Linked DNA regions of Macaca fascicularis. The protein of the gene in region 2 interacts with the protein of the main gene of each other region in a pairwise test. Links are inferred from orthologs where the notes say so. Each region holds a gene or a part of one and is shown on either strand. Other genes may lie near its edges. The genes, in order: KIZ and TACC3.

Region 1 (3,811 bases), on a different chromosome or scaffold from region 2:
CTTGCTCAGCATGGATTAATTTTAAGGCCTCTATTCCATCTTCTCCCTCCACCTTGCCACCTGGATTTGGCTGTGGTTCTGGGCTCTTTAAAAACAGGTCATCTTCACTTATTGAAACAGTGAGGTCACTGCTGGTGCTCCAACTTTCCTCCTCCTCCTCTTCCTGCTTTTTTCTGAAGGGCTTTTGTGACTTTGGGTCCCCGTGAGCAAGATGATCTGCAAGTGGGGACATGAATCGATTACCAATCACTGACTTCAGGGGGAAGCAAGGTAACACACAGCAGAATCACTCATCAGTTAAAAACACGGAGAAGCAGCCCACACACAATTCATTACGGAACTTAAAAGCTTAAACATATTTTCAAATGTTTAAAAAAAAATCACAGCGGGTTTAAAAATCAGCAAATTCACTTGCATGTACATTTTTAAGAGTTCATTAGAATGGATTTTGTTGGCAAAGATACTATTTTATGACAAAGAGAGATAATTAGAGAGTATATTTTGTCCTTACATAAGATCACTACCACCCAGAAAACTCAGCAACCAAACTCAGCCTCTCATCCCACCTGAAACACCTTGCCAAGGAGAATGCTTCTCTTGAGACCACTTATTTTCAGATTCACAGTATTCCGAAACTGATATCGGAGAGACTGGCGGGCTGGCTCTTTTTTCCTCAACTTCAATATGTTCCCGTGTCAGTATTTCTCCCTCTGATCCCTCTGATCTGCTGGAACTGTCACACTTTAAACCAGTGGTTCTCTTCTCTGGACTTAATCTTTCCTGTAACGGGGAATTGAGTTCAGCAGACTTTTTGCCTTCAGATAAATTACTCTTGCCATGACGTGTGTTACTTCCTATCTCCAAGCAATGAGTTTGTTCCTCCTCAGACAATACACTGGCTGTGACTGGCGTTTTCTCACCAATCTGAAGAGATGCCTTTCCATCTATGTTGTCAGACTTATTTAAGCACTGTGTGTCATTACTAGTTTGTACTACACAGCTGTCTGTCACATTACTTCTCTGGGCTGTCTGTCGGTGTGAATGTGGGTCAGGAATTGAAAAGTTCTTTGTTGGTTGGGGAGATTTGTGCTCTGTACTGAAATCTCCCATGCTTGAGACGGCTGACATTTGGCGGCCCATAAAGATTGTTGCTGGTTGATACAATCCTCTTGACATGGCTGTTCCTGAGTTAATTCCCTCCTGCACTGCAACCTGCAACACCAAAAGAGATGTGAGCTAAACATATTGTGTATAAACAATTAGGTGGTTTTTTTTTTTTCCCCCGGAAATGAAAGGAGGTCAAACAAAGCATGATTACTGAAATCAGCACCTACCACGTTTTATTAAACTCATGGCTTCCTACATAATGAATGAGCAAAAAGCAGTAAAGTCCATACAATTTAATTTTAATAACAATGATAGTTCACAAAACCAACATAGTAAAGAAAGTAGGCCAGGTGTGGTGGCTCATGCCTGCAATCCCAGCACTTTGGGAGGCTAAGGTGGGCAGATCACCTGAGGTTAGGAGTTCGAGACCAGCCTGGCTAACATGGTAAAACTCTGTCTCTGCTAAAAATACAAAAATTAGCCGGGCATGGTGGCAGGTGCCTGTGATGCCAGCTGTTTGGGAAGCCGAGGCAGGAGAATCACTTGAACCCGGGCAGCAGAGATTGCAGTGAGCTGAGATCATGCCACTGCACTCCAGCCTGGAGACTCCATCTCAAAAAAAAAAAAAGAAAGTACAGAATATATGTTTTTGAAAAAAGAAATACATGCTTTGAAAAGACATCATTAGGAAAGTGAAAACCCACACAATGGGAGAAAATATTATAAATTATGTATTTGATAAGGGTCTAGTATCCAAAATACATAAAGAAGTCATATAACTATGTAATAAAAAGACAAATAGCCCTTAAAAGTGGGAAAAGGATTTAGATAGACATTTCTCCAAAGAAGATATATGAATGGCCAATAAACACATAAAATGATACTATCGTTACTCATTAGGGAAACATAATTCAAAAGCACAGTAAGATATCACTTTACCCACTATGATGGCTGTCTTGGTCTGTTCATGCTGCTGTAACAAAATATCATAAACTAGACAGTGTATAAATAACAGAAATTTGTTTCTGATAGTTCTGGAGGCTGGGAAGTCCAAGATCGAGGCAGGCGCCAGTAGACTCCGGGTCTGGTAAGGAACTGCTTTCTCTCAGACAGCATCTTTCTGCTGTGTGCTCGCAGGGTGGAAGGGGCAAGCAAATTTCCCCGGCCTCTTTTATAAAGAAACTATTGTGCCCATGAAGGCTCTGCCCCCTTGATTCAATCACTTCCCAAAGTCCTCATCCTCAAAAACCAACACCTTGGGGATTAGAATTTCTTTTTTTTCTTTTTTTTTTTTTTTGAGACGGGGTCTCGCTCTGTCCCCCAGGCTGGAGTGCAGTGGCCGGATCTCAGCTCACTGCAAACTCCACCTCCCGGGTTCACGCCATTCTCCTGCCTCAGCCTCCCGAGTAGCTGGGACTACAGGCACTCGCCACCTTGCCCGGCTAGTTTTTTGTATTTTTTTTAGTAGAGACGGGGTTTCACCGTGTTAGCCAGGATGGTCTCGATCTCCTGACCTCGTGATCCACCCGTCTCGGCCTCCCAAAGTGCTGGGATTACAGGCTTGAGCCACCGCACCCGGCCTAGAATTTCAATACATGAATTGTGCCGGGGGCGGGGGGGGGACACAAATATTCAGCCCATATCAATGGCTATACTAAGAAAGATAGACGTTTTAATTTAGGATATTTAAGATGGAGAGTATCCCTCCAATAATTAGGAGAAATATGAGATAGAAATAAAGACATTATCACTTACAGGTTCTGGAGAGTACACGGCATACCTGGAGGCCAGCACACAAACGTCAGGGAGTGCAGGCAGAGAGAGGAAGAAAAGGGACCCGTGTCCTCACATGGTGGAAGCAGTGGTTTGAGGGGAAGGACACATGAGCCAATGTCTTTAATGGGTCCCAGGTGTTATCCAAACAGGTTTCCCAAAGGCAGCATGGGGAGTTTTAACTGGTGAGTTTAAAGCAAGCAGGCATGAGTTTTGGGAGGTTACCCAGTGACTGAGAGGTGGTCACTGTGGCATATGGTCCATGGGGAATGTGAAGGTAAGAAGGGCCTGTCAAGCAGGCTGTATCCAGCTATCCCATAGGGAAGTGGTCACCAGAGAGCAGCTGTGTAAGGCAGGTATCTGGACCAACCACACTGAGGAACTGGGGAAAAAGGTGGAACTGCCAACTGTGTCGGGGTGACTCAGTCCTGCTTCTGGTATGAGAAGGTTCAACTTAGATTTAAAATGTTTGCTGAGGCAACATAAAATTATAAGAATTCACTACGGCCGGGGCGCAGTGGCTCAAGCCTGTAATCCCAGCACTTTGGGAGGCCGAGACGGGCGGATCACAAGGTCAGGAGATCGAGACCATCCTGGCTAACACGGTGAAACCCCGTCTCTACTAAAAAAATACAAAAAACTAGCCGGGCAAGATGGCGGGCGCCTGTAGTCCCAGCTACTCGGGAGGCTGAGGCAGGAGAATGGCGTAAACCCCGGAGGCGGAGCTTGCGGTGAGCTGAGATCTGGCCACTGCGGCTCCAGCCTTGGCGACAGAGCGAGACTCCGTCTCGGGGGGGAAAAAAAAAATTCACTACAATAGGCAATAACAAGTGTTGTCCAGGATGTGGAAAAACTAGAATCATACACTGCTGATGGGAATATAAAACGGTGCAGTCACTTTAGAAGAGTTTGGCAGCTCCTGAAAAAGTTA
Region 2 (3,811 bases):
ACAGAAAAAAGAACACGACACCTAAGAAAATCAGACGAGACGACGGACGGGAGCAGGGGCGGGACAGCGGCACCCGGGAGGTCAGATCTTCTCCATCTTGGAGATGAGGTCGTCGCAGATCCTGGTCAGCTCCTCATTCTCTTTAGTCTGGATAAGGAAGATGAGTTGCGGGGGCTTCTCCCTGCCTGGAGGGAGCGGCAGGCCCAAGGGCCTTCTAGAAGGTGCTGCCAGCCGGCCCCGTGAGCTGGGCTTCCCGCACCCACCTTCTGCTCCACTGTCTTCTCCAGCGACTGGATCCGCATCTGCTCCTTCCTCAAGCTGGCCTGGAGGGCCAACACTTCCGCCTGGGCCTTGCTCCGGACTTGGGCGATCTCCTCATTTGCCCTGGACGGGTAAGGGCAGGGCAGAGGCTGAGCTGGGGCCCAGGTGCTCAGACTCTCCCTCCAGGGTGGGGGCCTCGCCCAGCACTCACAGCTGCAGCTTCTCCTCCGCATGCGCCTTCAGGGCTTGGTACCTCTGGCCTTCCTGGGTGATCTTCGCCAGGTAATCCTCCACACACTTCTTCAGTGACTCTTCGTTCTAGGAAGGGGCAGGCATTAGCTGTGGGTACCATGCCATCTGCTGGAGAGTACCCAGGCTTGGTGTCTGGGGACCTGCAGACCCTCAAGGCTGTCTGGGGCATCAGTCATGAGGCAGTACCTCCTGTTTTCCTTGTGGAAAAAGCCCCTCCACACAAGTTCCCAGCTCACCCCCTCTGGAGGTTCAGGACAGCCCTGGCTCTCCACCCTCAGAGACGCCAGGCCTGAACCTGGTGCCCTCACGGCTGCGCCCCCTCCTGCCACACCTGTAGCTTCTGCTGGCACCAAGTGCTGCTGGAAAGTGGGATGCACCTGGGACCACTGACAGCCCAGCCCCTCCCCCTCTGGAGATGGACCCTGTGCTTTGGGGACAGGCAGGGGAGGCCAGCAGGAGCCACATGGTTACCCAGACCTGCCTGCTCCCCACAGCTCTGGGGGCACCTTCCGCTCAGTGACCGAGAAGCCCCAATTGAGGGGCTCCTGGGCCCCCGAGTGGCCTCTGCTTGGAGAAGGCTCAGCCCACCTGCCCTCTTCCTGCAGTGCCCCCAGCAGCCTCACAGCCCAGCCATCCCCACTCCTCTGTTGCAGCCCTGTATCCCAGGAGCACCCATCCAGCATGCAGCCCACGATGTCCTGCGGAGGTCACACCTCCCATAAACCCACAGCCCTGTGTTTCTCTGCTGTGGAAAATTCCCAACAGCGTCTGTCTGGGAGGTGGCAGCCGAAAGCTCTCACGTCGACACAGGTCAAGCCTCCCGCCACAGCAGCGTCTCTCCCTCTGGCTCTGGGGGCTGCCGTCCACACATTGGCTCCCAGCTCACCCTCTGCTTCCCTCATCTGACCTGTACCCTCTGAACTGCTAACTTTGTTAACTGTGTACCTGTTAGAAATTTCCATTTTGGCCGGGCGCGGTGGCTCAAGCCTGTAATCCCAGCACTTTGGGAGGCTGAGACGGGTGGATCACGAGGTCAGGAGATCGAGACCATCCTGGGTAACACAGTGAAACCCCGTCTCTACTAAAAATACAAAAACTTAGCCGGGCGAGGTGGCACATGCCTGTAATCCCAGCTACTCGGGAGGCTGAGGCAGGAGAATGGCGTGAACCCGGGAGGCGGAGCTTGCAGTGAGCTGAGATCCGGCCACTGCACTCCAGCCTGGGCGACAGAGCGAGACTCCGTCTCCAAAAAAAAAAAAAAAAAAAAAAAAAGAAATTTCCATTTGGTTCTTCTCTAGTTTTTTTTTTTTGAGACTGAGTCTCGCTCTGTCGCCAGCCTGGAGTGCAATGGCACGATCTCGGCTTACTGCAACCTCCACCTCCCAATTCTCCTGCCTCAGTCTCCTGAGTAGCTGGGGCTACAGGTGCCTGCCACCACACCCAGCTAATTTTTGTATTTTCAGTACAGACAGGGTTTCACCATGTTGGCCAGGATGGTCTTGAACTCCTGACCTCGTGGTCCTCCTGCCTCGGCCTCCCAAAGTGCTGGGATTACAGGCATAAACTGGCCTAGTTTTTCCGTATTTTTTGTTTCTTAGAGACAGTCTCGTTCTGTGGCACAGGCTGGAGTGCAGCGGCGCAATCTTAGGTCACTGCAACCTCCGCCTACCAGGTGCAAGTGATGATCATGCCTCAACCTCCTGAGGAGCTGGGACTACAGGCCTGCACCACCATGCCCCGCTAATTTTTTTTTTTTTTTTTTTGAGATGGAGTCTTGCTCTGTTGCCCAGGCTGGAGTGCAATGGTGCGCTATCGGCTCACTGCAATCTCTGCCTCCCAGGTTCAAACGATTCTCCTGCCTCAGCCTCCCGAGTAGCTTAGACTACAGGCGAATGCCACCATGCCTACCTAGCTAATTTTTGTATTTTCAGTACAGATGAGGTTTCACCATATTGGTCAGGCTGGTCTTGAACTCCTGACAGGTGATCCACCTGCCTTGGCCTCCCAAAGTGCTGGGAATACAGGCATGAACCACCTTGCCCAGCCCAATTTTTGTATTTTTAGGAGACGGGGTTTCACCATGTTGGCCAGGCTAGTCTCGAACTCCTGACCTCAAGTGATCTGCCTGTCTTGGCCTCCCAAAGGGGATTCTTTTCTAGTTTCGAGGTCTCTACTGAAGCAATACTCTTTTGAACACAGAAGGCAATTACTTTAAACTCTGCACTGGGTCCTCCGAGATGGGATTAGATGTGCAAAGAAGCCTCCATGAGAAAGTGGGGAGGTGGCCAGTGGGAGCTGAGGCACAGGCCTACCCCGAGGAGAGGCAAGGCCAAGGCAGCTGCTCACACCACAGCCCAACCTGAGGGAAGGTCAGCAAAGCCACTGTGTCCTCAAGTCAGCAGCCTCTCCAAGCGTCTGTACTGAGCCAGATTACTGCACTCTGCTGCCGCGAGGCCCTTCCCATCTGCTCCCTGCAGATCTGGGGCATTACCTGCTGGTGCCACCTAAAACATCTGGGGCTCCCGTGGGTCTATCAACAGTTTTCTTTTTTTTTTTTTTTTTTTAATTTTAGAGATGGGGGTCTTGGTCTATTGCCCAGGCTGGAGTGCAGTGATACAATTGTGGCTCACTGCAGCCTCCACCTCCCGAACTCAAACGATCCCCCCACCTCAGCCTCCCAAGTAGCTAGGACCACAGGCGTATATCACCATGCCTCACTCTAATAACAGGTCTGATTTTCACTCATGTTTCCTGTTCCTTTCACACTTGGTTATTCTGTGCCAGACACTAATTTAAAACTCTGTAGCAGCAATTTAAAGCATTAAGACACCTTCTTCCAGAGAGTATTCAGACTTGCTTCTCTTAGGCAGCTGGGCCCCAGCCACTGACACCCACCTGACTTCAGGACTGAGATGAGGTGTGGCTGAGCCAGCCCCTGCAAGGGCCACTGTTCTAGTTTAGTCTGACTCCCAGGGGACCCATCTGGTGTCCCCAGCCCCTTGCACCAATGGTGACAGGCCCTCTTCCAGCTGCACCCACAGGTCCAGCTCCTCTACAGGAGACACTGAGCACCTCCGCTCCAACACTACTGCTGTGGGCAGAACCCTCTGGTGGCCTCGCAGGTACCTTCCAGGCCTGCTCCAGGCAGATGGATGGCCCAGACATCCCTCCTTCCAGCAGCACATGGGCCTTGCCCAGCACAGAAGGTGGAGGGCGCTCAGAGTCCTATGGCCAGGAGGACGCCAGGGTGACCTTGCATAGCCGTGACCACCTTTCTATGGGCCTCCTGCCTTGGATA

Evidence for each region.
Region 1: the proteins of TACC3 (region 2) and KIZ interact in binary tests that used the Homo sapiens proteins (3 or more experiments, as listed by UniProt). The two-hybrid records come from large-scale screens. The link is inferred for Macaca fascicularis from reciprocal best matches to the Homo sapiens genes TACC3 and KIZ.

What each region holds. Positions count from the first base shown.
Region 1 is NC_088384.1:66,160,980-66,164,790, forward strand, and holds part of KIZ (centrosomal protein kizuna), read right to left. Parts: intron 1,213-3,811; coding exon 567-1,212; intron 217-566; coding exon 1-216. UniProt on the Homo sapiens protein: Centrosomal protein required for establishing a robust mitotic centrosome architecture that can endure the forces that converge on the centrosomes during spindle formation. Required for stabilizing the expanded pericentriolar material around the centriole.
Region 2 is NC_088379.1:1,885,108-1,888,918, reverse strand, and holds part of TACC3 (transforming acidic coiled-coil-containing protein 3), read right to left. Parts: intron 580-3,811; coding exon 473-579; intron 385-472; coding exon 264-384; intron 148-263; coding exon 82-147; 3' UTR 1-81. UniProt on the Homo sapiens protein: Plays a role in the microtubule-dependent coupling of the nucleus and the centrosome. Involved in the processes that regulate centrosome-mediated interkinetic nuclear migration (INM) of neural progenitors.